Linked DNA regions of Struthio camelus. The protein of the gene in region 2 purifies or fractionates together with the protein of the main gene of each other region. This does not show direct contact. Links are inferred from orthologs where the notes say so. Each region holds a gene or a part of one and is shown on either strand. Other genes may lie near its edges. The genes, in order: ELAVL1 and IGF2BP1.

Region 1 (15,686 bases), on a different chromosome or scaffold from region 2:
GCCTCTCGGACTCAGTTTCCATACCTGTACAATATGCGCAAGCTTACCTGTATCACAAGGATCTAAATTCAGGTAAGTTAATTTAATAAAGAAAATACTGTACACACATCATGTAGCCACTGCCAGAGATGGAGCACTGCTGGCAAAACATTCTCTGTGAAGAGCCCCTGAGAATTACGTGCAACAGACTAGACCCAAAGCTTGCATTTATTCGTCCTCATACATTGCCTATTACTTCCACTGAATTATCTGAGCATATCTCCTATTATTCAAAAGGGAGAATTAAAGCTCTACTAAATTGTTGTGCAGCAGAGGAAGTTGCAGAACAGGGTTTTCTTTTCAGTATCCTGTCGCCTGAAATGCATTCTAGTGCCAAAATGAAATGCGTAGGCACAAAGAAAACTGAAGGTAGTAATGACTGAGGCTTTTCAATTAAAGATTAGAGAATAAACAATTTTAACCATTACTATCTTTACTGTGCAATTAACATGAGCAAATGCCATCAATACAGGTCACCAACTAAAAAACACAAAACAAAAAAAAACAGGAAGTGCCCATGGATTAATACTTGTAAGCTTGGCGTTATGACAGGCTAGGGAATAGGCTGCTGCTGCTGACTTCCATAACCAGAGTCCTGTCCCCACTGTGTTTGATGCGCTCCAGATGTAACAGCTGTATTGGCCTGAGAGTGGAAGCATAAGATTTGCCATGCAAGAGTTCGCTGTATTGTATGGCTTGCTGCACTGGCTGGATGTAATTAAACTATAGCTGGCTGACTGCTAAAAAAAAGAAATACATGAAAAATATAAACAAATATACAGGAGCACAAAGTTTTACTTAACAGACCCCGTTTCCATTCACAGAATCCACTCATACTGCATTTTATTAACACCCTGCAAGACAGTCAACGTATGAAGGCTTTGACTAACGCTGCAGTTCAAAGTCTGTGCTACAAAGTTAGGGTCACAAGTGATGAAGACTGGAGTTAAGATAACCACAGGAAGAAGCCAGAACACAGGTCCCTAAGAAAATGACAGCAGCACAGATTGCACACTATGATGAACAACAAACAATTTTACCTTTGGTACCATGGGCAAAAAATACTCATGCTTTTATCCAGCACTAAGTCAGAGTAGGACTATTAAAACATCTCATTCACCTAAGCAATGTATCTCACTCCTCGGTCCATTATTACATCTTTGCCCGACAAAGTATAAATCAGGCAAGTGTAACATGCTAAAAGTTACAGCAGTAACGTTTAAGGAGCACATAACATACCACCCTGAGAGGGAGCTCTCCAATGACACACACATTTAAGAATGTGCCTGAAGGATGCTATTGTTTGGTTTAAGTTCAAGCTTTCATTTTTTATATTACTCTTAACTGTGTAATTCATTTCAGAGCCCAACATTTATTTGCATATGCAGTATATGCCTATACATTTTATAATCTAAATATATAGAAATGCTATTACCACTGTGAAGACAGTGATCAGTATTATCTGCTCTAAAGCAGTCTTCAAATATGAGACTATTACCATTTAATTAATAACTATTTAAGCACTATAAAGTGTCATAGCCTTTCAGAAACAATAGAGGACTAAGTCAAGTAGACTAGATGTGACACATTCAAAACTCTGCACTACATTTTAACATTATCCTCATCCTTACCATTGATCCGCATCAAGATAAAACCTAGCGCAGAGATTTCATGCTTAGCTTTACAAAGAATCTTCAAATCACTAAGCAGGTAATGCAAAAGTACCTCCCTTTAGATAAAATTCTATCACTTGTAACCCTATGACTTTTCTCCCCTGAACAACAAACTAGAAACAGTCTCTGTGTATGCACGAAACAGCCATTCCAAACTTTGTCCAGAAAAGGATGCTCAAGACAAATATGTGAGTATGCTATGTTTTTGCTACATTTTACATCCTCATTTGCCTCAGTCTAAATATTTAATGCCCTCATATTATCCCTGTGCGATGAAGAAATGCTATTACACAGAAAGAAACAGAACTACAGAGACCGTGGAAATGCTAATGTGGTTTCTGAGAAAGGAACACAGACAGCAGCCTGGAGATCACAGAATGGCTGAAGCTGGCAGGGACCTCTGGAGAGCACCTAGTCCAATCCCCTGCTCCAAGCAGGGCCAACTAGAGCACGTTGCCCAGGTCCATGTCAAGCAACACAAGCAAAGGTTATTTTGGTTCCGAACTTTGTACTAAATGCTTGCGTGAATGGTGCATGGGCTTTATAAAGAAGGATTTTTATCTACGTGACTGTTGCATCTAACACTATATTGCACTAATAGGATAGCCTACTCCTTCCAGCAACACAGACGTAGACTCTTGTTCTATCAAGAAGCAGAGAAACTTGATTAAAAAAAAAAAAACAAACAAGAAAAGCAAGAAAGTATGTTACTAAAGAAATCATTAAAACCAGATCTCTGTCAACTCTTGACTGAGTTAGTCACAAGGAAACAAATCCTTTTATCATTGAACTGAAATGAGAACAAGCTATCATAGCATATATGTTAAAGGAAATACAGCCTTTCAATTTCTATCTTGCAAGTTTTGTTTCAGACTTGAATTTATCAAGAGTGAATAAGTTATTTTCCATATATCCTTAAGCTATTAGGTTACAAGACAATTTTTGTATTTAGACATTTTACCAGCGTGCAACATTTCAGTTTGTTATTAGAGATGAAGTAGAGTATGAGACATACAATGCAGATAAGTTTCCCATTGTAATAAACTGTTAAGTCACAGAGAAAACCAAAGGAAAACAAAAAGTTCATTAGTTGTAACAGTTCACAGAACAACATCCCTGAAATGACATTTTCCTCATGCAGTGGAATAATGGACAAGAACTTCCTCTAAAAGTCTTTTCAAATCATCCTAAAGTGTGGAAAACTGTTAAGAGCATTCCTCCTTCTCCTACAGCTCTACTGCTTTCGCATATATTATTTTGAAGCCATGGTTCACTTCAACATCCAAGCCAGAGGTTTTTTTTTTTTTTCATTTTTTTTTAAGAGTCAAAAATTTACAAAGTTTGAGTAATTTATAACTCCACTTGCTTTCATGTTTAGTTATTTAATTTCAAAAGATGAAACAAGGCTAACAAAGTTATTTACTTCTTCCACCTTCAGAAACCATTAAAATGGAAGGCCACGGATAACAGCAAACAATTAAATTGAGACCTTCTAAAACTGGATATTAATATTACTGTAACAATTACAAGCATTAGTCTCCAAAACTCTTTCCACTGTGCATGCATGGAGAGAGAAACAAGAACCATCATCCTTTGTTAAAAAAAAAAAAAAAAAAAAGCAAAATATACTGAAGAGAAATCTGGAGAATGGGACAGGAAAGGAAATTGAACTCACATATATAGAATTCAAAAGCATCGTGCTGCGAGTGTTAAAAACCTAACAGCTTCCCATCCTCACCAGAAGCAGAATTCTGTTATAACCCCCCCACCAAAACAAAACAAAACAAAACGAGTCTACATCATGGCCCTGACTTAACATTTTATAAGTTTAGCTCTTGTAAGAAATCAAAACTTTGAACTGCAGGTTGTGTGGGTGGTTTTATTTATTTATTTATTTAAATGTTCACCTGTTCTCAAAAGGAAAGTTATTTCTCTGTGAATGTTTTGTAACCTTTACCAAAGATAAATTGCTTAGTCACGTTGACATTTTTACACAGTGCTATCTTTGGGAGTCACTTTAGAATATTATCTTAAAAGTAGTTTACTAGAGATCTTAATGCAATGAATGCACAAATTTAACCTGCAAAATAGGGAAAAAATTCTCTGTCAGTATTGGGTAGATCCTAAAGCCTGAAATATCACTAATTCAAGAAAGAGAGACTCTTTCTTAGGAAGCTTACTGCTCATTCAGTTCAAACTATACTGAATCCTGTCCCAGAATACATCATACAGTCAGTAGAAAAAACACCAATGTCTACAGTTGATTTTTGGTTAAAACAACTACAAATTCAGTATTGTCTTCTGAGATGTCATGTTAGAAGGCAGTAGATAGCAGTTATGGAACAACTAATTTTCCATTCACGTAAGGCAGCCTACGTTTATACATGCTGCAGTGAACTTGTCAGGGGGGACCTTTTAATAAGGACAATACTGGAATGCTATGGTGTTATCTGAAGGCCATGCAGGGTATGACCAGGACCATTCTGAATTGGTTTCAGTCATACCTGACAGAGCTCTCCCACATGGTTGTGATGGCTGATCTGTCTGAACTAAAGATTGTATGTGAATTGCCCCCAGGCCAGTTTTGACTTCAGTGATTTTCAGCATCTGTAAGCTGCTTTTCGGAGAGATTTTTTGAAAGACAGGGCTTGGGCTCTTGATACTATGCTGGCGATACCTCTTGTGTATCTCTTATTTCCTAACTATTATAACACTCAAGATATTTGGGACTAGATGACTAGAAATTCTGAAATTAAACCTTTACAAGACACAGATAATGCAGATTTTTTTTTTTACTAACATTTCCTTAGACATCCCACTGTCACATATTCAGAGAAGCATTCAGCATGTAAATATATACAAAGTGTAAGCTTGGTATTAAAAACAAAAACAAAAAAAGCCCACAACTAACCATCATCCTGCTAGATGGCCACACATCTGCTGGCACTTTGATAAGGTAACCAAGACACAATCCCTCAAGATAGAACCCATGCTTCATGGTGTAATAAAGTTTACAAGATTACCTGAAACATTCACCTGGAAAGTGTAAAACTCTATATATTTGGGGATAAGAACAGATCAAGGCTACACGTTGCTTCACTTTAAGCATTTGCTGCAGACTGGTACGCTTAACACATCATTTACATCTTTCAACCGTGATTCTGATATGATGTTCAATCCTTCTACAAAGTTTGGTGACCTAAACAGATTCACGCTACTACAACACAAGATTCAACAGAGCTTTGATGTTTCAAGCTTTCACTAACAAAAGTATAGTCATACTTTCCTCCGTAAAGCCCTGTATCTTTACAAAAATCTCTCTTAGAGTTCTGAAATATACCCCTGAAGAATGAAATACTTGAAGTCTGATAGCAGTTATTTTGTCGTGTATTTCTTCCATGGTGGTGGCAAGATCACAGACTCAGAATCACAGAATGGTTTAGGTTGGAAGGGACCTCTGGAGATCATCTAGTCCAACCTCCCTGCTCAAGCAGGGTCACCTAGAGCATATTGCCCAGGATCACATCCAGGCGGGTTTGGAATATCTCCAGCGAAGGAGACTCCACCACCTCTCTGGGCAACCTGTTCCAATGCTCTGTCACCCTCACAGTGAAGAAGTTTTTTCTCAGGTTCAGATGGAACTTCCTGTGGTTCAGTTTCTGCCCATTGCCTCTTGTCCTGTTGCTGGGCACCACGGAGAAGAGGCTGGCCTCATCCTCTTGACACTCCCCCTGCAGATACTTGTACACGTTGATGTGATCACCTCTCAGTCTTCTCTTCTCCAGGCTGAACAGGCCCAGCCCTTGCAGTCTTTCTTCAGAGGAGAGGTGCTCCAGCCCTCTAATCATCTTGGTAGCCCTCCAGTAGTGCCATGTCTCTCTTGTACTGGGGAGCCCAGAACGGGACACAGTACTCCAGCTGAGGCCTCGCCAGGGCTGAGGAGAGGGGCAGGATCACCTCCCTCCACCTGCTGGCAACACTCTGCCTAATGCACCCCAGCATACCATGGGCCTTCTTGGCCACAAGGGCACACTGCTGCCTCATGCTTAACTTGTTGTCCACCAGCACTCCCAGCTCCTTCTCTGCAGAGCTCCTTTCCAGCAGGTCAACCCCCAGCCTGTACTGGTGCAGGGGATTATTCCTGCCTAGGTGCAGGACCCTGCACTTGCCTTTGTTGAACTTCAGGAGGTTCCTCTCTGCCCACCTCTCCAGCCTATCCAGGTCCCTCTGAATGGCAGCACAGTCTTCTAGTGTGTTAGCCTCTCCCCCCAGTTTAGTATCATCAGCAAACTTGCTGAAGATGTGTAAGGCTTGCACAAGTGCTGTAAACGTTCAAGCCAACTGATAACTTCATAAAGTCTATAAGATTATTTTGGAATTATGGCATCCATATTGCCATAGTTTCTGTATTTAAGGTCACCCAGAATACAGGCTCTGAAACCATAAAGCTCTGTCAGTGACTGCAAACCATTCATATCAAATATTAAAATCACAGAACGCTTTGTAATTATTGTTGGTGCCAGTAAAGATAACCTCAGTGTCAAGTTTGACAGCAATGTCAATGGACTTACCATTACTGAAGTATCTAAATCAAACTCATGGCTTCAATGAGGCAGTTACATCACTGTAGACATCTGAACCATATAAGGACAGATAAGCAAATATATTTATGTGTATTGTTTTTGTGGTAATAAATACTTAATCTTGAGACTAACACGCTGTTCGCAAACCACCATTCCTGAACCATATATCCCACTCCTCATAACTCCCTACCATTAGTTCACACATGGGCACTTGAGTACAATGCTTTGCCAAATCGTCCAAAATACAGAAAAGCAGGCACCTTCCTCAAGCCTTCCAGGAAAGGAAAATAAAGTAATTCAGACAGCGCTTACCATGCATTTTCATTTTGCTTAGAATCCTGAAGAAGTTTCAGGGATTGAAAGATAGTAAGAAACGCAATTAATGTTTTCTTATTGGTAGTTTGACTGATAAAGTGTTTTTCACATTAAACTGAGATTAGAAGATGTGGTCACTCAGTAAGCTTAGCCTGATTTTCTCTGCTAAGCAAAGCTACAGCAAGCAATGAGGTCTCATGCACAGGCTACAACTAGTAAGCAATATGCAGATGCAGTGATTTACTTTAATATAAAAATGCTAAATACTATGCTCCTATAAACAAGAGACATGAACACGTGAAAGCATGCTACCAGCAGTCACAAAAAGTTACTATGCTTTAAGAAGGGATTGTCTTAAGCGTCACAACTTAAATGTGCATTCAGATTTGTCATAAAATATGACATGTGCTTCCCAAACATTTTCTTCTGTTTAGATTGGGATACATAGTAAGATTGATTGATCATAAAGTAAGATTGATCATAAAAACGGTCATCAATGCTTTTATATTTTAATTGCAACAGATAGTTAGCGCTTCCTGGAAAGAGAACTATACTACAAATAAACACTATATCAAGCAGTGACATCATTCAAAGCTGGTATAAGACTATGCAAAACCACAAGCTTCATAAATAACGACCTTGAAATAAAAAGGACTACTGGCAACCAGATAAGCTTCCACTTTGCTTTCTCTGTTTTTGTTGTTTCGCTAGGGAGGTATTTTATTCACTAAGCTTTCATTAAGATGTTTTCAAACACCGGGCTAACATACAATGTAACTGCTGTACAAAAAATAGGGAAGAAAATTGCAGAGGCCGTTAATGCACAAAGGAAAAGCAAAATCAAAGAAATGGGAAGAGAAAAACCTTCAACAAGGGCTTATTTACCTGCAAATTTAAATTGAATTTTAAGTTATCCACACTTGTCCCCAAGCCATTAAATGTGACAGGTTTAATTTGAAAAGTCTGGTACCTCACTGTAGTGGCACAGAGAAACCTCAAGTAGCACGTTCCACCAGACAATGCATCCACTATTCAGTGCAAAGAGGCTCTCCACTTGAAAGCTCACTAGCCCTCCAATGCTTTCCCACTGTTTTCTGCATTGCTCTAATAAAGGCCAGAGAAATCCACTCACAATTCAATGAAAATTTAAAGGGGGCTTCTCTTATTGCTGTGCAAGGAACAGCAGAATATGCCCCACGTGACATAATTCACAAGTGAAACGACAGCACTAGCAGAATGAAACAGGTACTTAAAACTAACCACAATGAAGGTAACTCCTAGAAAGGGAAATACCAAATACGACTCCATCCTTCTACAAACAACCAGAAGGAACTTCTGGAGAGCACAGAACACTCTGAACAAGTGGGTATTATCAGAGCAGATCTCTGGGGAGGAAGCTACCCTCAAGAATGATGACTGGGTAAGAACCAAGAAATTCCCAAGAGCCACAGAACACCAGAAGGAGTGAAAGGAGCAAAGGGGAACTACAAGAAAAGTGAAATCAGAAAGCATTGTTTGGGAGGATGCTCACGGTGGAGCAATACAGCTACCCTTGAGTCTGGCAAACAAAATCGCTGTCTGGGGCCACAAGCCACAAGGAGATAGAACTGGGGTGTCAGGTACCCAAAAGTCTTGGAACAATGCCAGGGGTGCTTGTTCAAAGAAACAGAAGATAACACTGGCGGCTGGAGCTCTGAGAAGACAACGGAACGGGTGGAAAAAGGGCTCTTAGGGGAAAACAGAGGTCTGAAAAAAATACGATGCCCTACGGGAGGAAGGGGAAGATAAAGAAACTGAACACAGCAGGGAGGAAGAAGGCCATCACAGAGGGAGGGGAGGGCAGAAGTGAGGACACCTTTCAGGAGCTAGTTACTTCACAAGGCAGAAAGGACGGAAGAGGGAGCTGGAGCTCCAGCACCTGGAGCCCGAAGCCCCCAGCGCACCCCGGGCCCAGGGGGACCCGGTCCGTCGCCAGGGTGCGATGGGGCGAGCGCAGCGCAGCGCCGCGACCGCGGTGGAGCCTCGGCGAGAGCCAGCCCCGAGGCAAGCTGCCCGGCCGCTTGGGGGGGGGGGGGGGCGCGGGCGCCCCGCCGCCATTTTAGCCGCCCTGAGGGCGGGCAGCGCTGGAGCCGCCATGCCGGCGTCGCTCCGGCAGCGGCGAGGCGGGGCGGGGCCGGCCGTGGGGGCGGGGCGGGCCTGGCGGCGCCGTAGCGGCGACGGCACCGGCGAGGGGCGGCCCACTTCCCCGGCCCTGGTTACCTGCCCCAAGGCCGGGCGGCACTCTGCGCGACGCCTAGCAGCTCCCAGCCGCCATTTTAGCGACTGCAGAGAGGCGCGGGGGGGGGGGGGGGGGGAGGACGTGATGGCGCGGGCCCCTCCCGCAGGGGGCGCGAGGCGCGGGGGGGAGGCGGCCCCGGGGGGAGGGTCGGAGCTTTTAGACAACTGCGACACGTCTGCAGCGAGCGTTAGGCCGCTGATTACTGATGTGCTATATCGATGTCGTTACATCAATCACCTGTTCTCGACATCCGACACTGGTGGATGCCGTGAGGCCAGCGTGGTGCCCTGTCTGAGCTGTGGGCGCTGGCTCCCCGCAGGGAGGCAGAGGGGTGGCAGCAGGCTGCCAAAGTGCTACTTTAAACATCGTTCATGGGGCCTTCCTGGAGCAACTAATCAGTATGCCTGGAAATACATGCCTGAATGGACCTAGAAATCTGTTCAAGATAGATAAATATATATATAGTATATTATGTAATATATATATAGTCATTTTATATATAGATATACCTATATATCTATATATGAAATGACTTTAGTATACCCCAATTGACCACTCTTGTGGTCAAGGAAAAGATAAAGTAGAGTTATAGCGTTTTATCATAATGACAAAAATGATATAAAAATAAGAAAGCTACTTAAAAGGGCAGGATAAAAAGAATCTGTGGAGAAGTCTGTCAGAGCCTTCCAAAAAAACGGTCTGGAGCCACCATCCAGGTCATGAAGTCCTTAAATGAGTCACTGCCGAACTTCTTAAATGAGTCACTGCCGGAAGAGCGAACCACAAGGGCTGTGGCTGCTCACACGCCTGCTTTGTGTAGTTAGTGTGACTTGACTAAAGCAAGCAGACCTGCTTTCCGGTGGACTGCTGATCCTACTGGTAAAGTGCTCTTACATTCTCTACTAAACTCCATCTTAAAACTAATGAGGCATTTTGTCCCTGTTACGTTTCTTAGAAGGCTCCGCAACACTCTTTCTCCTTTTGTAACCTGCAGTTTCTAGCTGATATTTGCTCATGGCGGTTTGTAACTGTTTGTCCTTGCGGCAGTCACTTCAGTGCTTCACTTCACATTGTTCATTTTCCTGCCATATGCAAGAACCGAGTCGACAAACCTCTTGCAGGATCACCAAATATAACTCGGTTGGCACTCGGTTTTCATGTTTCAATGTAAATCAACGACTAGCCTGACTGAACATACTGTGAAGAGCCAGATGACATTGCATTGCGTCATCGTAAAATGACTTCACCAGGACAACTCGCTTTACATTTTAAGAAATTCTATGTTATCGTGAAACTTGAAAACCAATGTATTTTCGCAATGAACTGAAACATGGCAACAGAAATTGAATACATTTCAGCAAAATGAGATCATTCCTTTAAAAAATGACATACAGGTTAGTAGGATAATACCACCCAATTGTCATCATGGTTTTCCATAACACAATGCTCATGATGATAAATGAAATAATTATATTGAATATGTGCTGCTGTGAATAAAAGTATCAAAGCTCAGTGCAGCAGTTTCATGCCTACAGCCTCAGTTAGAAATCTGAGACCTATCTTAGGCCTAAGAACAGGGCCACTTAATTAAAAACTGAATGATACAAGAAAAATGCAAGATACACAGTAACAGAAAGCTGCCATTGATGTGAATGACAAAATTGAGATATTGTGGCTGGCATGCATAGCATCATGAGCAAATGACAGATGCACAAACATCTTTAATATTTTACGGGGCCTTGAAGGTTATTTCCAGGCCTGTCAGGCTTGGAATTTACATATAAGGATTCCCCATCTGGCACTGAAAGCTATGGTAAAGACAAAAGAAAATGAATAATAACTCTCTCCAGCGTTTCTCTTAATGGTTAACCTCTTCAATGGACTCTTGATTTAATGATGGTTCCCATCACCTCCTCTTTGATACCATGTCCTCCATACTATTGCAGAAACTGGCTTGTTCCTGGGCATCCTGTATGGAAGATTAGCATCCCATATATAACAGCCCTATAACAGGACCACATGATAGGGTTTCTGAAACGGATTTCTGGACAGAAAACCAGATACCATCAGTGCAACAATGCTGGGAATTTACTATGCAAGGCCTTTGCCAGAGGCAAAATTGGCATCTGTTCCAAGTCAAGGTAGGTAGAGGAAAGATATTTACATTCTGAGCGTGTGATTTTCCATGTGTTCCAGGGTAATTATTACTAGGTACACAGTATTTCCATATGTATACATGCAATGAAATGGCAAAGGACACATACCCTATATGGTTTTGCCATTGTATCTCAAGCGTCCATCCTTCAGACTGTATCTCACTATTTCTAGTCCAGAAAAAGGTATATTAATTTGATTTTAGAGTCATGTTACTCAGCTAAGTACAACTCCAATTCATGAGTTATCTTTGATAAAATAACATTACACATTTTAGTGCAGCAATACCCTGGTGTTACTTTTTGGAATATTTGTTCAAAGTTGAGTCCCAAATTTAGATCTTGTCAGGTTATACAGAATTTACAAAGTCTTGCAAATTCACAAGTGAGTCAGGCACAAAACAAACTGTTTTGTACCAAGGGTGTTATTGCACAGTACTATGTTAATGACAAAAAGACACTTGTTTCCTGCAGAACAGTGGAATTTTACATTCAAGGACTCTGCCTGTGCAGTGGAATTAGGTATGGATGCAAGGTATCCATACCTTGCATAGGTATGCCCTTGACTACGAAAAATGTGCTGGGTCTGGATGGAGGGATGAGAAGAGTTAAGATCATTGCAGAACTTCCTAGAGCATAGAAAAGAGCTGACCACCAGAGCTTGCGCTATAGAGCATTTCTAGCATTTCATTTGCGTAGGAACAATTTAATCTCTTAACCAAGAGTCATAAGCATTCCTCTGCACTATTGCTCAGCAAGGCTCCCGTTTCTCTTTGCTGCAGCTGGCACCGTGTCTACATCCACGGAGAGAGGTGGCCAGCCAGTGGGGAGTCACTGACCGCAGACACCCCAGAGCCTGGGGCTGTCCTGCTTTTGCTAGCTGCTCCAGTCTAGTCTAACTTCTCCTACAAGGAGAAACTCGTATTTCTCCCTGTGGGAGCACAGCGTGGAAGGATTTGCACAAGGGGATCAATGGAGGCAAGACCCGCATTCCCCTAGCTCCTGGCAGTCACCTCAGCAAGGCCCAGCTGAGCAGGCCGAGGCTGGGGGAGCACCAGCTCGGCAGGCTCCGGGCAGGCCCTGCCTGAAGCCCTGAGCCGTCCCTGTGGGGGCTCCCTCCAGCCACGCCGCCGGCACCCGCCGCCCCCCGCGGCCAGGAGCTCCCCCTCTCGCCTCCACCCACGCCTGCCCCTGCGGCCGGGCCGGCTCGGGCCCTGCGCGCCGCCGCCGCCGCCGCAGGCTCCCGCCTCGCCTCAGGCGGGCCCGCGGCGGCGCGCAGAGCCCGACTCCCCGCGCCAGACCGGCGGCGCCCCTCCCCCACCCGGCGCTCCTCCTCCCCGGCCCGCGCTTGACCGACGGGCCTTCGGGCCAACGGGGCGCCAGACACGTGCGCGCCGCAGCCAATGGAGCTCGGCGGGCGGGGCGTGGGCGTGCCCAGCGGCGCTGCGAGCGGCTTGTTGTGCGCGCTGCGGAGCCGTTAGCCTCCCGCTGCTCAGGCCCTGCCGAGCCGCCGACAGGTGAGGCCTGGCCGGCTCGGGCCGCCTGGGGGCGGCTGGGAAGCCCTACGCGGCTGCCGCGGGGCCGGTGGGGGCAGGAGCGGACCGGAACGGACCTCGCGGGCCGCGCCAGTGAGGCCAAGGCCTGGCCCTGGGCCTGGGCTTGGGCCTGCGGGGGGAGAGCCGGGGCCTGCGGGTGGGAGGGGCCAGCCGCAGGGGGAGCGCGGGCCCGGGGCGGGCGAGCGAGCCGGGGCTGCGGCCTGGGGGCGGCGGGGCCGGGCCTGTGGGGCGGTGAGGGCCTGTGTGGGGTGAATGGGCCCCGGCTGGTGGCTGAGGGGCCTGAGGCCTCTGTGTTCGCGGGCGGTGAGGCCGTGGGTCTCGAAGCCTGGGGCTACTGTTGAGGGAGCCGGCCCTAGGTGGGAGATGCACTGCCTGGGTCTATACCTTGTCTTGGAGGAGTTGTTCTTCCGGTTAATGCTTGTTGTCCTTTATATTTATTTTGTGTGTGTCTGCAGTAGATATTTTAAATCTCCCACCTTCGATAAGACTGGTGCATTTTTATTGATTGGCAGTATCTGAGGGTGGGCTTCCTAATGTGGACAGCACTTACTAACATCAACGCTAATTTTGGCCTGCTAAGAACAAGGTTAGGAAATGCTATGTTAACTGCCTTTGGCCAGAAGAAGTCACAACTAAAGTAGTATCCCACTATTGTTAGTGCTGGTGAGAGGTTTTTCAAAGTAGAGCACTTACTCTACTTGGCGATTGAAAGAGGCAAGAATGCGTTAGGGCAGCATTCAGTGGGAGGATGTGTGTGAAAAGAGTGTGTGCAGAGGTAGCCTGGAGAAAGGACCACTGAGCTGTGGTGGAATAATTTGTACAGAGGTGAGTATGCTGATGACCATATTCTGTAATGTTGGGCAGTGGAGTAGCCTTATCTATAAAGGCAGAGGCCTATATCTGAAGTTTGCTGAGAAGGGAAACGTTTAATTCCATGAAGGGCTTATAGCTTGGATCCTGTGATCCACATATTGAGATGCCTGTGGGAAAATAAGGGAGGGAACAACTAAGAAGGATAGAGATTAATTTATTAATACCTCTTACTAGTACTTCTTATTAATGTAACTGGCTACTGACATAATTGAGCACTTCTCTTGATCTCTGTATTTCTCCTCCTTTTTCTCTTTCATTTTATGCCATGAACGTGGATGTTGATAGCTCATGTTTTACAACTCCTGCCTCTTTAGCAGTCTGCTGTCCCCCACTACTCATGTTTGAACTACTTTCCTTTCTAGATGTATGTGAACAGAGTTCTTGCAGACCCATGCCCCTCTCTTTAAAAATGGGGTAATGTCTATATTCTGTATGCTTTATCAAGCCTATATGAGACGTTTTCATCAACTCTTGGACTTCCAGTGACTCTTGGGTGTGGGGGGGAGGGGTGTCTGTACCATGTGATAGTAAAGCCTAATTCCCTGAGCCTTCTGAGTCTGTGCAGCATGCTGCGTTACTCTATGGCCATGCTAGATTTGGTTTTGAAGCAGTATAAGTGCTTGTGTGATGCTGCAAATGAGTTGTGTGGCTTCATGTTTAAAAGTGTTCAGCAGTTCTGACTTAAAGAACTCCTATTACCTGCCCCTGCAGTATGCTATCCACTCAATTTGGTTGGAATGAGAACAGGGACATCTTAAGCTGGTGTTGTGGTTAAGTATATTGTATAGTGAATTCTTGACTTTAGTTATTTAGCCCTGATATGAGTGGGATAAATGTGGTTATACTGCTTTCCCATGTGGGATGTCTCATGCAGTGCCAGGTTTGTGGGAGCAATAGTAGTAGTATTAAGAACAGTCTAAGTGGAAATACCAATATTGTATATAACATCTTTCTTAACTTGATCGCTTTTGTTGAATTTGGCTAGTTGTTGATGTCAGCTTACCATGAGCTGTGACCTAAGCTCCTAGTTCAAGCACTCTATTTTCTACTTGCTATTTCTTGCATATTCTGTTACTTATTTTCTCCTGAAAAAAATCTCTTGACCTGCCAGTGACATGTTGATTTTTCTTTTAAAATCTGTTTCTTTAAGCCCTTACATGAGCCTGCTTTGTTCCTGAAGGGTTGGTCTCTTTAATGTTTGTTGCTTGTTTGTCACAAGGCCTCTGTGAATTGATTACAGTAAAATGTTATTAGATATTGCATGGAGTGTGTGTCTTGTGGATAAGCTACTTGTAAAGATGACAGACTGTTTGCTAGTTAAAAAAAACCTCAAGCTTGCTGTACTTGCACACTTAAAGATATTTGGAAATGCAAAAAAACAAAAAAACAAAAAAAACAAAAAAACCCACAGCTATCTCTTAGCTCTATAGAAAAAGCAAGGAAATTAGCTTCCCTCTAATTTAAGCATTTGGAAGCTATGACATGGTCCCAGCATAAGAGAGGTGTTAAATTTTGCTTTCTACTAAAAATTGGTCAGGGCATTTTTCCTGATTGAACTGCAATTCTCTGATCTAGGTACCTGCAAGCTTCAAACTGCTGGCTTAAATGATACATTTGATTATACAACCTCATTATATGTAGGTGATGTATGCAAAAATATATTTTTAAGCTTCTTTTGTTCTTGTTTTTCTTTTTTGAGGAGGGGGATAGGGTAGAAATAAGCTATGCTGAGAAGACAGAGGATTGCTTTTCTTGTGTGTGCACATGCGTGCATTTTTTTTACTCATATTGCTAGTAGCAGTGACATAGTGAAAATAAATAATAACTTCCCTCTTACCCAGTGCTTCCTTGGCCTCCTTGTAGGAGAGCAGTAGCAAGTGTTGGCCCCTCGTCAAGCCTTCAGAGATGGATTTCCAGCTATTTGTGTTCTGCTGGTGCTACCTGTTTGATACTGTCTGCTTCCATTACTTCTCTTGCCTTCCTGTTCCAGCAAAGTGGAAGTACCAGCTGCTAATCCAAGGATGAATTGAATCGTAGTGGGGGGTGTCAGAATGTGTCTGGAAACCATTGTTCTTGTGCTCTCTTCTCATCTTCTGGAAATATGTGCATAGGAGAGGCATTCTTTCCTTGAGTGTTTTCTTTCCAGCACAGTTCTTGGTCTCCAGATTTTTTTTTTTTGAGGCCAAAAAAAATTAGCCAGAGGCAGTGACTGGTCA
Region 2 (15,936 bases):
CACTGTCACGCAGTGTAAAACCAACGGCCAGTTTAGGTTTGAGACATTTTAAACAGAAGCACGGGGTAATTCGGATCGGGAGGGACACGCCGAGGCCACCCGCTCCGGCCCGCGGCGTTCCCAGCCCTTCCCCTGCGCACCGAGTCTCGAGGGCAGAAGGGCTCCAGGCTCCCCAAAAAACACGCAGCGCTGGTGATGGGAACGGACGGAGAGGTGCACGCGCAGTCTGGCAGGACTGACGGAAACAAGCCGCCGCGACCGCCGCCGCCGCCGCGACCGCCGCCGCTCCCCCTTCCCGGTCAGCCAGGACAAGCCAGCAACCTTCGGGGACACCCCACAAAAGGATTTCCTAGCTAAATCCACTAAAGGGTTGGCACGCTTGCCGGTAATCACAAGACAAGCTGGAAATAGAAGCGGCATAAAACAAAGCCCAAGTTTCTGCGCTGGGTAGAAACCCTCGTGGGTCCGGGAGGCCAGTTTCCAACCGGAAGAGGTTCGGGGAAAAAAAAAAGCTTTCCCGGTGCGCGGACCGTGCCGCAAGCGTCTCGGCGACGCTTCTCGCGCTCCTCCCCGCAACGGCCACAGCAGGGGCAGCGGGCTGCCTTAGGCTAGCCCCGGCTCTGATCCGTCCTTCGCCTATGCCTCCGTTGTTTTTTTAACGCTGTATAAACTTTGCCGGGCGAGTGCATTTTTCAAACACCCCAGCTGGCCGCCACAAGACCCTCCCCGGGCATTTGCATGCTCCGAATGGGGCAGAATTAGTATTTAAAGGTGCACAGAGACTCGGAGCCGTTAGCTAACGAGGAGCCTCGCAGCCAGGATGATGCGCAGATCCTGCACGCTTCTATTTCTGCCTTCCCCCCCCCCCCACCCTGCTTTATCCCTTGTTTTAGCTTTATCTGCTTGGCGGCCAGGAAACCCTTCTCACGCAGCGGCGGAAAGGGGCAGCTGGCGACGTGGATTAACACTTCTGCGAAGCGGGCGATTTAGGAGCGCCCACCTTAGGCTAAGCTTTTAAATGCCTCCGGTGACGTAGAGGAGGAGAGTTCTCGCTTAAAACTTTTGGAAAGCTTCTCTCATCAAACCAAAAAAAAAAAAACAGAAGGAAAAAAAACAACCTCCCCAACTTTTCTGGAAAGCTTTCTCCTCCGAAGGCGTTTGCAACCCCTGGGTTTGCTGCCCCCGTCGGCTCCCACCTCTCGCTCGCCCCGCTCCCGAAAGCCCCTCCGCCGAGCCGGGGGCACCGTTGGCAGGGGCAGGACGAGGAGCCGCTCGGCGGCAGGCACCTCGCATCCCTGCCGCCAGCAGGGCTGGAAAACGGGGCAAAAAGCGGGCGGGCGAGATTTAGCGACCCGGCTCCGAACGGGCAAAAGGGGCCGGGAGACTTTTGCCTCCTCCTTGAGTTGCGAAGCCCTGGGCTAACCTCGGGCCGAGCCGAGCAGCCTCTCGCGCTTCCTGAACTCTCCCAGACCCTCCTGGCAACTCTGGAAAACATTAACATTGCTGGGGTTTGGGCAGGGGGAGGGGGACGCGGTGGGCAGAAATCTTGCACGTTTCTGAATTCTGAAAGGTCTCGCTTTTCAAAGGGAGTACTTTAACCCCACTTCCCTTATCCGTATCTCTGGGGTTTGTTTGCTTGTTTCTTAACCTAAAAGGCAAAGACAGAAAGAAATTAAAGCGGAGAAGCGCACCGAGCCCTCGCAACGGCCAGGCGCGCCCTCCAGAGGGGCAGATTTCTTCTTTCCTTCTAAAATTAAAAGTCATCACACTCTTAGCAAAGAGGGACTCCCCTCCGCTGCTGGTGCAAAACTGGAGGCTACAAAGTTTGCACTTAAATTGCAACTTCTTTACCTACTTGCCAGCTGCAGCTGCTACTTGGAGAGGGGGACATCAAGGCATTTCGTCAACAGTCACTCCAGGCTGCAAGTTGCTAAGCATATTCTTTCCCCTGTGTTTATCAAAATTGGGCAGATTATCTCAGTTTTAAACCTAACTGACGCAGTTTACTCCAGGAGGACGTGACAATGACAAATTATTTCTACTTTTTTCTAGCTGGAAAGGCTCAAACTGTATTAATTTGCGAGTTATGCCAGTTCTCAGAGGTGTAAAATGAGTATTTAAAAAGTGCCTTTGAGTTAAGAGCTGGACATTCATGAAACAGATCTGAAAAGAACTACTAAGATTCTTGCTTTTTTTCTCTCTTAACAGAAAGACAATAACGAATGAAGTGATATCAAACTCAGCACTCTCAGAAAGTAGCTTTCATCCTGTGTTTCAATCTTCACACACTGTTGTGAACAAGAATGTTGCTAATTTTTAAAAGATACTGTAACTTCTCAAACAGACCTGTTCTGGGGGAAGCGAAGGATCTGAACAAAGGCTTAAAAACATATTTTGTCGCAGCATTTGAGACAGTGTCTTTATTTTACACAAAAAAGAACTACCTCATTTCTTTCGGCTCAATTTTCACAGAATGCACAGAATTCTAGGTAGGAAGGCGTATTTTCAAGTTAATACTTAAGAACAAAGAATTTACACTAGCTGTTATCAAAAGTTTTTAAATATTTCGTTATGAATAATTAATGCCAAGATTATGCACACACAAAAGACTGCTTCTGCAGTGTGCAAATGCATTAATTTGAAACAAAGCCTGAAAAAAAAGAAGTGGCAATTCAAGATTTATCCACCCAATTCTCTATATGCTACACTAAATCTTCTCATAATTAATAACATATAGTAATTCCCACTCCTGCCTGAGAGTTCACTGACTCTTCTAAACACACATGTTGTTTATGAATCGCCTCTGCTTCAAAATGCCCCGCACAAATCTTTTTAGTTTAAAGTATATTGGCTGTTATCAACCAAACTCACTATTTCCCCCCAATTACTTGGTTTCATTCTCTCTGGTCGACTCACTTCCACATTCCTCATATTTGGAATGTCTGCCTGATGGATTCACTTTTTTCCCCCCTTCACCCCTCCTCCTTTATTCATTCATTCATTCTTTTTAATGCTATCTGCTTAGGTCTTTTCAGTTTCAGAGAGGCTTAACCACCCCCCTAAAACCAGTTCTTAATCTTGAGGAGGAGAAGCTGAACTTACTTTTTTTAAAGGATCTTTTCTTCTTTAACCCTCTGAATCATAACACATGTAATAATTTTCAGGTTTGAATATATGTATGTATATATATATATATATATATATATATATATTCTTAGCTTTCCCCAAGTTTTTTCCATCAGCAAAGTTGCAGAAAAAAATAACTTCAAAAGAACAATGAGATGCTTCAAAAAAAAAAATCTAAACAAACTTTTAAAACTGAGGGGGTTTCTGAAGGATTCACTGCCAAGAACGAAGTGACATATTTACCAGCAGTTTCTTTTCTTTATGGTCAAATATTTCTAAAGTATTTCTTTAAAATGGTCGCCTATAACCATTAACAACATTTGCAGCCTTAAGTGTTATTTGAAGAATCCCTGTAATTAAACAGCCCTAAATCAGTTTATCATGCTTGCGCATTTTGGTGCGGCAACTACACACCAAGCATTCTTTCTGGTGCAACATTAACACATTCTCTACTTTTTAATTCATTTCTACGATGGGATCAGGGGCAAGAGAGATTTTAAAGAAGGAAATACACCAACATGCAACATCGATTTACAACAAATAGTTTTGTTGTAGCCATTCATTTCCAAGAAACATCCACACCAGTTTGACTGAGCATCATCATCTGCAGTTTCAAACACAAGAAACACAACCATCAAGCCAAATTTTTATTTTATAAATCATCTGGAAAGCACACAAATGAACACGTCTTGTTTTCCATATTTCTACACTACCCCCCCCCCAAAGAAAAAATTCATATCAGCTTGGGGAGGGGGAGGCATTTGTTTCAAATCACACCAAAAACATCTGATTTTGCCCTTACTACTCTTAATTAACCATTTCCTGTTCTGTGCAGTCTTGAAACTGGAAAATCCAGTCTTAAAAAACAAGTAGAAAGAAGAAAAGAAAAAAAAACCACACACACGCACAAAGTCTACTTAGACACAGAGGCAGTCCCAGCATCTCGGTCTTTATCCAAAAAAAAAAAAAAAAAAAAAAAAAGGGCAGGAGGGGGGAGAAGAGTAAAATACGACATCTCAGCCCCGAAAGCCTGCTTCGAGCTAACAACCTGCAAAGTTGCCCCCCCCCCCTTTCCCAAAATACAAACTCGCCTCCCGAAACCGAGACCAAGTAACTGCAGCCCCGAGCCCGGCCGGGCTCCAGGAGCCCCCCGGGAAGAGGGCGACCCAGCGCGAAGCCCCTTCTTGCCAGGGGGAAGCCCACGGAGACAGTCGACAGCAAAAATGGCTCCTATAGCTTTAAAGGCAGCGGATTTGGGGGGGGGGGGAGAAATATGTGGCTAAATTTAAAAAACACCCCCCAGCCCGGGATTTAGCAGCTCGACGGAATTAATTTCATTTCTCCTGGTTCTCATTAAAAACGAGCCAACTAACCTTCGGGTTCGATTCCACCTACCGTGGAGTTTGGACAACAGGGCGGCGGGTGGATATTTGGGAGGGGGGGGAAGGAGAGGGAGGGGAACTGCAGCCTCCAAAGAAATATTTACATTTCGAGATAATTTCCTAATAACGCAGGGGGAGAAAAGTCAGGGCAGGGCAGAGCGGAGCAGGCAAGACGGTGAAATCCGCTCCCTTCGGCCCAAGCTATCGATCATGGAGCCAGGCTACGGGGAGGGGGGGAACGGTGAGGCCCCCTTGGCCCAGCGTCACCCCCGTCCCCTCCGCGCCGTCACCGCCTTTCCCACAACACCGCTCCGCTCCGGGATATTTAAGCCACGGCGAGGTGTCGGCCGCCGTAAGGAGCAATATCGATCAGCTCGGCGCCAGGCAGGTCCCGTCGCTCCCAAATCTTTCCAGAGGCAAAATTACGGGATGGAGTTGGGGCTTCGAGTTAAACGAGCCGGACCCCGGGGTTGGAGGCCGAGGGGCTTTTAGCCTCCCCCCCCCTCCCAAAACCTTTCCCCCTCCCTGACCCCCAGCTCCGAGGGAGGGTTTGGGGCAAAGTTGTGAAGGCCAAGGCCTGGCGGCAGCCGCGGCAAGGCCCAGCCCGCACCAGGAAAATGGACTCCCCCGTGATCACGCCGGGGGATATATATATATATATATATATATTTATATATATAAATTTTTTTTTTTTTGGTCAATCGGAGGGAAGCAGCAAAGAGTTGAGGGAGAAGGAGTTTGCTGGGCTCGGCCTCCTCCCTGCCGGCCCCGCCGCTGAGGTAAGCGCCTCGTCACGTGGACCCGGGGGTCCCGGGGCCCGCGCCATCCAACGTGGACGAGTCGGCTGGGCCAGCCGCTCGCCTGCTCCCTGGCGCGGGGCGTTCGGTTGGGGGTACTCCCCTCCCCCCCCCAAATAAAAAAAAAGGAGGGGGGATTTATTCTTTATTTCTCTTTTTCAGCATTCCTGCCCCAAAACGGCTGGCAGCCCCCCCCCCCAAGCACACAACAAAGGGCCAAGAGCGCGGCGAGGCCGGAGGCCCAGGCCGGGCACGTGAGCCCGGGGCAGAGGCGAGGGGCTGCGCGGAGCTGGGCCCAGCCCGGGCCCCCCGCCTCGCCCGGCCTCGCCAGTCCCACCAGCACGTTTCCCCCTGGCCTTTCTTCTTTTTTTTAATTTTTTTTTTTTTTAAACTAAAGCGGAAAACAAAAGGCAGGCGCTTCCCAGCGAAGGAGAGGGGCAAGCTGCGGAAACGCGCCCGGCTGCACAAGTTTGCAAACCCAGACCCCAAAACCGCCTCGGCCGTGCCCGAGCTTGGGCGAGCGAGCGGCGGGGTCATTGTTTCGGCTAGGGTTTAAACTTGCTCTCAGAGTTAACTTCAAAAAAAAAAAAAAAAGAAAAAAAAGGAAGGAAATTTCAACATTGATCCTGCACGCTGACTCCCACCTCGCAGAGGACGGATCGGGAGCCAAATCGCCAACATATCTCCTTTCACATGCACATATTTGGGGATATTTTTTTTTGTCTCCTTTATCTTACGGCCTTTTTTTTTTTTTTCTCCTTTCCCCCCTCCCCAACAGCAAAGAAAAAAAAATTAACAAAAGAAAATAAAACGCTGTATTACCTTTGCTTTTTAGGCACTGAATGTTCAATCTCTAGCTGCTTTCCATGAAGCTCCACTTTCCCTAAAAACAAAATGTGTCTGGGTTTTTTTTTCTTTTCTTTTTTTTTTTTTTTACAATGGGGGGGGGCAACAAATAAAAGCCCTGGAGAACATGCTACCACGTGAAACCTTTCGTTTTCATTCCGAATTTACGGGGATCTACACGCAAACACGGCCGCCGGCTGCCCCGCGGGCGCGTTGTATGGGGCGGGAGCCCGGCGGGAGGGGGCGGCCAGCGGCCGCCTGGACACCCCGTTGCCCCCTTCCCACCGCTCCGCTCCGCTCCGCGCGGGAGAAAACGGAGAGGGATATTCGGAGAGGGATTTCTTCGCCTTTATTCAAAGCCTCGTGTTGAATTCCCGCGGAATTCCTCGTTTTAGGGGTGTTTGGGGTTTTTTTTCCTTCCCCCCCCCCTTTCCCCTTCTCCCCTCCCCACCCAAAGGCTCCGAGTCGTTCACGGCAGAAACGGATCTCTCGCTTTTGAAAAACGGGGTGGTTTCTTTGCGGCTGGTTTATTTGGGGCGGGGGAGGGAGGGGGGGTTGGGGAGAGGGGCTCGGGTATGGGAAGAGCTCGGCGGGAGAGCTGGGCGGGGGGAGGGGGGGGAAAGAAAAAAAGGAGGAAGAAAAAATCGAAATTTCAAAAAAAATAAAAATAATGATAATAATAATAAAGAGCCGAGCTGCTTCCCCGGGAGCTTTTTCTCTCCGTGCGAGCAGCATGGCGACCTTCGCGCTACTCCGCGCATCACATGCCCCAGCCAAGGCAGTTTCAAATCAAAATGGCCAAAGTCCCAGCCCACCGCCCGCGCTGCCGCCGGGACCCCCGGGCCGAGCCCCGGCGGGGCGGGCGCCGCGCTGCCGCCGCCGCCGCCGCGCCCGGCCCGGGGGCGCCCACGGGGGCCCGGCCGGGGTGGGTGTGTGTGGGGGGGGGGTGGGCAGGGAGAGGCCCCCGCCTCGTTTCACCCTTCCGCTAGCTGCTTTTGGGTGGAGAAAAGGGGGTCGCCCCCCCCCCTCCCCAGCCTGCGGGGGCCCCCGCGCTGATGCAAGCGCCGTCGGGGGGAGGGGGAACAAGGGGCTGCCCGGCGGCAGGATGCGGGGTCGGGGAAGGGGGGCAGCAAGCGGGTGGGGGGGGGGGGAAAGGGGAGAGAGGGGAGGGGGGCGAGGCCGCTTACCCGAAAAAGTTTCGATGGCTTTCATGGCCCACTGCTCGTCGGGGCAGTCCACAAAGGCATAGCCGGACTTGACCAGGAACTGCCCGCTGAAGGAGATCTTGTGCTCGTTGAAGACTTTCTCCAAGTCGGCGGCGGTGACGCTCTCGTTGAGGTTGCCGATGTAGAGCTTGTTCATGGTGGCGGGGGGCGGCGGCGGGGGGGGGGGGCGGCCGGGCTCGCAGCGCGCCTCGCCGGGCGCCTCCACCGAGCGCCCGCGCCGTCGGGCTCCGGCCGCGCGCTGCCGCCCCGCCGCCGGGCGCCTTCGGGGCTGCGGGGGGGGGGGGGTTTCCCTCCCCCTCTCTCCCTCTTTTTTTTTTTTTTTTTTGGTTAATAATCCAGGGGGGATTATTTCCCGGTGCGGGGGGGGGGGGGGGGGGAAAGGAAAGCAAGCCGGGGGGAGGTGGGGGGCGCGGCGGCGGGGCGCGCTGCTCCGACGGGCGGCGGCGCCGGCTCCGGGGGCCCCCAAGTCGGCCGAGTGGCACTCGAGTGTCACCGGACGCCTCTCGGCAGCCGGGCACCGCCTCTAAATAAAACCGACCTGGAAAATGAGTGAAAATGTTTGCTGGAGGAAGCCACGTGGTGATGCGGGAGGGCCCGGCCCCCGGGGGGAGGGGCCGGGGGGGAGGGGGCCCAGCCGCCGCCACTTATTTATTTATTTTAATTTAAATACTACGGTATTTACCTCCACCCCCCCCACCACCACCCTGCGGGGAGGGGTGCGCACCCACCCCGCACCCCTCCCCAGCGCCGTCCCGTCGGAGGCACTTTTGCCATCTGCTGCTGCAGCCCCCCGCCCCCACCGCGCCCCTCCCCCCCGGCGCCCCTCCCCCCCCCACGCCGGCCCCCGGTGCCTCAATGGGATTTTTCTGGGTGTAAAAAAAAAAAAAAAAAAAACAACTTCAGTATCAAAGGGGCCGCGAGGGTCCCCTGGCGCCAGGGCTGGGGGGGGGGGCGGGCCGCCCCCCCGGGGCTGCGCGCCCCCGGCGGGAGGATGGGCCCCGGCATTGTTTTAAGCGCTTGGTGCGCGGCCCCGCGGAAGCCCCCGGGCTGCGGGGAAGGAGGGGGGGGGGGATGGCTCCTCCCGGCACAAAAGGGCCCCGCGCTGGGGCAGGGCCTTTCCCCGACGGCAAAGCGGCGTGTGCGGGGCAGCCCCCCCCCTTCCCTCCCCGCCTAGCCTTTTCTGGAGACTTTTTATTTTTAGGCTCGAGATGGGTTGAAAATAGCAGCGAGCCCCCCCCCCTCCCTCCCCATCCCCCCCGCTACCGTCCTCCGCCCCCAGCCTCCTTCCTGCCTTCCCCCCGACGGGGCGGGCGGCTCGGCAGCGCGGCGGCGGGCAGGGGCGGCCCCGGCTCCCCCCGCCGCCGCCGCGGAGGCTCCGTCCGGCCTTTCCGCGCTCCCGATGAAAACGCGCAGCAAGGCAGCTCGCTCCCACGTGCTGGGCGGCCCAGACGGGGGGCACCACCCCCCCCCCAAAAAAATATATATCTATATATTAAAATTCCCGCAAGGCGTGCGCGCTGTTCCGGCGCCGGGAGAGCCCCGCGGAGGGCGCGCCCGGCGCGGGGGGGCAGCGGCGCTGCCGCGCTCCCTTCCCCCCTCCGCGGGGCGCCCGGTTACGTCTCCGATATTTTTTTTTATTTTCGATTTTTTTTTTCTTTCTTCCCCCCCCCCGCCCCCCGCCCCTTGCTCAGCTGCGTGGAGGGTTTGTTAGTAAATAAAGCCGAGGTCGCTCAGAAATGGGCGAGTTGCGCGGGTCCGAGGAAGCAGGCGCGCGTAGCCCCGGACGCCCGCCTGCGCTGCAGCCCCCCCGGGCGTCTCGTTCACGCGAACGGCAAAAAAAAAAAAAACCCCTCTGCCAAACGCTCATTTAAAGCCCGGAGCAGTCCGCTTTCCCTCCCGGCTCTGAACCGCTCTCTGCTACGCTGCTCCTGCAGCGTGTGGATGCTGCTCACCAGGGCAAGTCTGGTTTCCATCCTTCCAGCTGCGTTATTTGGCTCTCCTAGAAGTACCAAACCGGCGCAGCCAGAGGAGGCTTTCTGTGTCCACGGGCAGGTTTCTAAGGCTTCCGGCGTGTCACCCACGCTCAAAAGTCACAGACGAAAAGGAGAGAGCGATGCAATTTGGAAATAAATCTCCTGCAGCTCAGACAGCGCGCTTCGCACCCTCGCGGGCTGAAACCTGGGACGTTCACGGGCTTCCACCGCGCTGCGCGTCGCGGGCAAACAAGTCAAAATAAATGAGCCCCTATCTGCCTCGCCTCTGTTTCTAATCTTGACCCTAATACTGCTGTTGCCGCTGTTTATTGGTTAACCGAGCACCTTGCCCGTGTAACATAACCCTTTGCAATAATGAAATCAAGGAAACCAGCCTTAAAAAAAAAAAAAAGCACCAAACAAAGAGGGAAGTCTTCAATTTAGGTCTGAAACAAGAAAGACTATCAGTCAAGCTCCTTCCCCTCGGTGGAGCGTTCCAGATGCAAGGTATTTAGGGAATGCAAACAGCAGAGGCTCCATCATTGATTTGCTGCCCCCCCCCAACCCCGTTCACGGCTGGGGCAGGGTGGGAGGGGGCTGCCCGGCCGGGCCCCCCGCCCCCGGCAGCTGGGGCTCGCCGAGCCCCCCGCAAGGGCGACCGCGCTGCTCCTGCAGACGTCAGGCTCGGCAGCAGCTGCCGAGCCCCAACCGGTCAGGAGCGCTGCAGCCCGGGCGCTGCTAAGCTGCAGTTTCCCCCGGGATGCTGTCAGCTCGGGGAGCCTGCGTGGCCTTCTCCCTTCCCCAGGATTTCCTTAAATTTCTTGGCGAAATCGCTCCGAGCGGCTGGCCGCTTCGCGTGGGCTTACAAACGGTGTCCCGCTCCGGCGTCGGCATAAATTTATTCCTGACTTTAGACGTAAGATCTGATTTTGGCAAAAGGTTGGTTGGTTGTTTTTTCCCTTAGATATAAATCCCTGAAGCAGGTAGGAAAGCGCTCACAGAGAACTGACAATTTCTCCACAACTCAGAAAAGCGATTGTTGCCGCGTGGGTGCTCAGAAAAATTGGTTGGAGTACAAAGTTGAACGGGAGGGGCGAGCAGCGCGTTTGAGGTTTTAATGAAACGTGGGCTTCGTACAAAGGGGCGAAATTCCTGCCGTCTGCTCAAGTGCTGCTGGTGCTCTGACTCAGAAAATACCTAAAACAGAAATAATCTTTATGACAGATTAGTGGTAAACTAGAACAGATTATAATCTGTAATTTTTCTGCCAGTTGTCATTTGAATCTTTCTTTAATTTGTTTTTTTTTTTAATCTCTAGTGCTGTCACTTATGTTTAATTTTAAGAAAATTAAAGGTGTATTTAAAAACCCCAGAAACTCTGGAAATTCTTCAGTTTCAAGAGTTTGAAAGTATCTGTTGATTACTATCAAATAAACGTGTGCTGAAAGTTTTCGGTAAAATACATAGGTCATACAGCAAAAAAATAAGAATTTAATGTTTGCAGAATCTGTTTCAATTAGCTCTCAGCTAGCAGAAATCATCTGAGCTCAGAGCAAGCCTGAGCATAAAACACAGGTGAGAATTCAACAGAATAAGAAGAGCGAGCAATGCAGTGGGGAAATATTTCCTCTTAGTGAAGTGGAATCACAGTTTAAACCCCTTTTTGTTCCCTTTTTATTATGTGGAAAACATTCACCACTGGAAAAAAGAAGCTCCCGTCCGAGAAGGTCCCGCCGATTCCAGGCTGTGCTGCCAAATTTGTTAAGAATCAAACTGATTGGGAAATTAACAGTTTGCTTCGAAACAAAATTCAGCATTGCGCTGGATTTGGGACAATCCCCGGATTCCCTGCGCGCTTGCAGGGCGGTTTTTGCTTCTGCCTGCGGCTTGGTCGAGGCGGAGGAGGACGGGGCAGCGGCCGCGCCAGCGAGGCGCTGCGGGCGGGCTGCGAAATGCCCCTCTGCTCCCGGCCGGGGCGCCTCTGCCAGCACCGGGCGCGAGGCTCAAGAGCAGCAGAGCTGACGTTGCAAACGGTTAAACCTGCAACTTTCTTCGACGTTTGGATATTTCCTAAACATTTTAGTGCTTCAGTTACAAACAAAGCAAATACTCCGATGAACCCCGGCTTAAAAAAATCAACTCGCATCTTGGAGAATCCTTTGGCTGTGCTGCTAAAAGTTGGCGTCTCCTTAAAACAAAAACAAGAGAAAACCGCAGGCAAACAGCTATTTTCTTCTCCTCTCTACTTTGTGAGCATTTGCTATCGCTGCGCTCGCTGCGGCGCGGGGCGGGCAGCTTTGGTTAGGTCTCCGGATGGTTGCACGTTCCAGGTCTCCTAGAGCAGAAAACTGAATCCTCTGTTTGGGCTTGTGCACATGCAATGAACTGTTCAGACTGAAACAAAACAAGGCTGCTTGGCATCCAAATTTTTTCATAATGGCGATGGTCTTGTTCACTTGGGGGGCTGCAGCCCGTTTCTTTGCGTAGGCGGGAAATTCAAGATGCAAGGAAAGAAAAAAGCTTATTGGAAAGAGCCCCATAATTGTGTTGTTAGTCCCTTCAATTTTCACTTTTCCCCCAAATTAATATGTAGCAGCTCCCTTCCAGCACACCTTCCTAAGCTGTAAGTTTACAGTTTTTCTTGCTCAAAATCACTTGCAAAGAGTTGGACGGATAGTGGTAGCAGCCGTTCTTCCCGTGGGTGGCTTGAGCGATGGTGGAAAGTTTTGGTCTTAGTACAACGATAAACTAAATTAATGCAGTTCAAAAAGCATCTTGGAGGATGGACTTCTGCCGCTGCTGAACTCCCCCTGACCTTATTTCACGTAGGAGCTGATCTCCTGGACCCCTCTCCAACCATTCTCCGCACTTACAAAGCGCTGATTAAATGTTTTCCTTCCAGTGACTTCAGGTATTTGTATCAGATTTCCTTCAGGCTGAAATGAACGCTTTTAGATGAGATTTATACGACATGAGCACGAATCTGGGGGCCCTATAATTGCAAGTCGCCACTTAAATTCCCCACGGGACGGAGGGTTTGCCACCGCGTCCTGCTCTTCTTGCCTCCGCTTTTCAAACTCCCTGCAGCGCGAGGCAGCGAAAGGCTCAGTCATTAATGCCTTTCCATTTTCGTCTCATTCATCGTACCCAAAACGACTGTATCCGGGGAGGTGGCAAACTGTGCAGCAAGTTTGCTGCTGTGGGTCACTTTAAAAGTATAGGTCATTTCACAATCTAAACCTTGAACGATACCCCCAGCCTGCGCCGTGGCACTCGCACTGCTGGGCTGCGGGGAAAGTGATGGTAGGAGAGCGGCAAGGGCACGGGCTGGAAATAATTTCGCGTTACTGAACCGGCCACTTGGGCAGACGCCTTCCCGTGGACTGTGCTGTCTAGTTTCTCGTCCTGCTGGTACATACTTGGGATTTATCGGGACTGATTATTTCCTCTCCTTGCCTGCAGCTCCACCGCTCTAATCTCTCCAGCTGTTTAGTTCTGGCTCTATCTTTGCTCCAAGAGGGAATAAAGTGTGTTTTTCACATCAAGGTAGCTGTCGCAAGGTAAAGTGCTAAAAGGACACAGCACAGGTAGCTTGAAGGCGATAGCAAGCCGAGATCATCTTTACGCCCTCACGAAGCAGCGACAGCATTCAGCTACGCAGAGGTAAAAGCTGGGCTGGCGGGGTTTGTACACCGGCGTGGTTCTGTGGTCAAAGTACATCTTTAATGCATTGAAGTTACAGCCTCTACCATGGGCTTTTTGTTACGCCAGTTACTGTGCTATATGCTGTAGGTCCCTGCTCCCAGGGGGGTATATGCTCTGCATTAAAAAAAAAAAAAAAGCGCAGAGTGGAATATGGAGAAGACTAGTGTTTTGTGGTTCCTGGTTTTGGGGGTTTTTTAATTTTGGTTTTTTTTTTTTTGTGTGATTCTTCAAAAGAAATGGCAACCAGGGAGGATCTGAAACAGCCATACCAGTGAGCTGACTTAGTCAAGAACAACCGCTGGAGCCTTAAAAGGCCCTAGGGTTTGTTTGCAGCTAAAAGGGAGTATTGGCATTTAAAGACATATCTGGTATTTAGCCATTGTAAAAAAACCTGTTCCATCCCTGCAAGCACTGGAGGGAAAGGCAGGTTTGAGTCCAAAAGAGAGGCTGAAGCGATGTTCTTCACTGCAAAGCTTTCCCCTAAATCAAGGCAGACCGTCCTCGTGCAGCTCGGTTTGAACGCCGGATGGGTTCAAGCACCAGGGATGGGATCAGGAGCCAGGCAAATCCTCGCTGCCTTCAGCTAGAGCGGAAGCTGAGTCCTGGCAGCGGGGAGCAGATGGGTGCTTTCCCCATCCCGACAGCCCAAACCCCTGGTGCTTGAGACATAGAAGACCCACCTGGGTTAGCCGAGGCTGCGAGCGGACAGCCAGTCCGCAGGCAGCCCGGGGAGGAGAGCGGAGGCTGGGCTGCAGAGCCGGGGGTTGGGATAAAGATGTTGGTATTTAGAGAATTAGTGCCCAGCCAAGATGCAACAGGATAAGTGAGAAAAAAGCACACGAGGGTTACTTACAGCTCCTCTACAACATGCCATTGCTGGTATTTTAGGGAGAGAAATAGCCCCAAAGAAAGCCTTGAGCCTCTTCGCCAGCAGCAAAGCTGCCTTGAGAGCAGACTTGGTGCTGAGCGAGGAGCAGAGTCTGAAAGGTGCTCGGACGCTCGCCATCTCAGAGAGCGGACGGGGATGAAAAACAACACAAAAAATCCCTCCTTCCTCTCTCCCCGTGATTTGAGGAGTAGAACAAATGCCAATGCTGAGCGACCAGAGCTGGATACGATTAGGAACGGCGGCAGCTCAACCGCCCCGGCGACCCCCCCGCCGGCGCAGGCAGCGGTGCTCTCACCTGGCACCCGCAGCCGCTGAAACGCCCTGGCAGAACGGCGGTGCCCTAAGGGGAGCCCTGCCAAACAGGCGCCAGGCAGCCCTGCTCCGGGCAGAAAGGGAAACCGTTGTTCACCGCATCCACTGGGAACAGGACAGCGGCGCTGAGGAAGGCGAGATGTCAGAGCTAAACACTGTAAGAGATTTCTTGGGAAGTTTGCAGCACACTTTTAGGAGCGGATTAGACTTTTGGCCGTTCAATACGATTTAAGCAGAGTTGATTCTATCTGGAAGGAGGAGAATGAATAGATGACCTGCTAAGGTCACTCCCAGCCCTGTTTTCTGTGATTACGGAGACATCTAATACTTGAAATGCTTTGAAATCAAAGTTGCCCTTGAGATGTTTTGGTGTCCCAAAGCAGACCAGAAGGGCTGTTTCAGGAACACAGCTGTGATCTTCCCAAAGTATTTCCAAATTCCTGAAACACTGACTCCTCAGGTCAGGTCTATCGCTGAGAAGCGGAGCGCCGAGCGACCGCGTGGTTGCGGAGGGTGAAACAGGGCAGCCGCAGCTCTCCTCACTCTCCTACCTGGTTTGCAGGGAGACAAACGTCAACGCTCCGGCTGGGTGAAACCTAAAGGGGGGACCCAGCTGAAGCCTGTGAAATGAGTCCTGTTAGGAGAGAAGGCAGCAGCCCACGAATAATGCGACGGGGGAAGCGTTGCGGTAGCTCTGATGGTCGGAGGCTAGGGAAGGGCAAGGTCTGCGTCTTTAGTTAGCGCCTCTGTTACGCTGGAAAAAGCACACGTGGGTATGTGGCCCTTCTTCGGGCTAGCGCTTCACTCTTAGCCTCTCGACTTTGCAGACCTGAACTGGCAGGCAAAGCTTAACTATTTTAGGCATTGATCTGTGGATATCACACAGACCAAATGAAATGCAGGCAACACCACGTCTCCTTGGAAATACTTCTGTATATCTGTTTGGGTGGGTTTTTTTCCTTTTTGTTTGAAAGGTTGTGAGAAATTTCAGAGCAACGCTGCAGTCCAAATTGGATCATGAGCAGACGCCCTGAAATAACCGTAACTGTGAACACTAGGTCAACATTTAAGGTTGCTGGATATTTATTTCACTCTATTAACTTTACATCCAACGGAGGCACTTAATGAGGGGAAAACAAATAGGGTGCGCTTTGGAGAAACAAGGTATCTGAGTTGGCTGGGAGTGAAGTACCCAGAATACATATAATAAAGCAACCAGGATAAACTACTCCATTTTATTGATTAGCAACTGTGCCGCGAGTGTAAATCGGCTACTTGTAACTGTTACGTTGCATCATTTAGCACAGCAGGCACCATGCTTGTTGCGGGTGAAAGCCTTTGCAGACCTTGGGGTGCTTGTGTGGTGCTGGTTAAAGGACTGAGCTACGTGTCCGGCAGCTCCTGCGGAAGCAATACTTACTCCCTAATAGCACTAAAGTGACTTCGCTCACACGCCGATCTGAGATGCAGCTGAGGCAGCACCAGTCTGGGAGGCTGTGAATGCGCAGCCCTCCTACATCCAGGTGTGCTGGGTTGCTGCTCCTAGCAGCTCGTCTGAACCACACGAGCAAACGCCGGCGGACCGGAGGGGAAGGCTGTGACGCCGCTAACCTCCTGCAAAAGCTCAGCCAGCCCTGGGGAACTGAACCACGGATGGCAGGGTATTCTGCAAATCAGCAG

What was found.
Region 1: the proteins of IGF2BP1 (region 2) and ELAVL1 purify together in Homo sapiens (co-immunoprecipitation; 3 studies listed by BioGRID and IntAct, with this or other methods). This does not show direct contact. The link is inferred for Struthio camelus from reciprocal best matches to the Homo sapiens genes IGF2BP1 and ELAVL1.

The regions. Positions count from the first base shown.
Region 1 is NC_090967.1:510,855-526,540, forward strand, and holds the start of ELAVL1 (ELAV-like protein 1), read left to right. Parts: upstream 1-8,456; 5' UTR 8,457-8,653; intron 8,654-8,869; exon of another isoform or gene 8,870-8,942; intron 8,943-9,646; exon of another isoform or gene 9,647-9,767; intron 9,768-10,834; 5' UTR 10,835-11,029; intron 11,030-12,385; exon of another isoform or gene 12,386-12,558; intron 12,559-15,686. UniProt on the Homo sapiens protein: RNA-binding protein that binds to the 3'-UTR region of mRNAs and increases their stability.
Region 2 is NC_090966.1:5,258,258-5,274,193, forward strand, and holds the start of IGF2BP1 (insulin-like growth factor 2 mRNA-binding protein 1), read right to left. Parts: upstream 7,602-15,936; 5' UTR 7,514-7,601; coding exon 7,339-7,513; intron 6,189-7,338; coding exon 6,128-6,188; intron 1-6,127. UniProt on the Homo sapiens protein: RNA-binding factor that recruits target transcripts to cytoplasmic protein-RNA complexes (mRNPs). This transcript 'caging' into mRNPs allows mRNA transport and transient storage.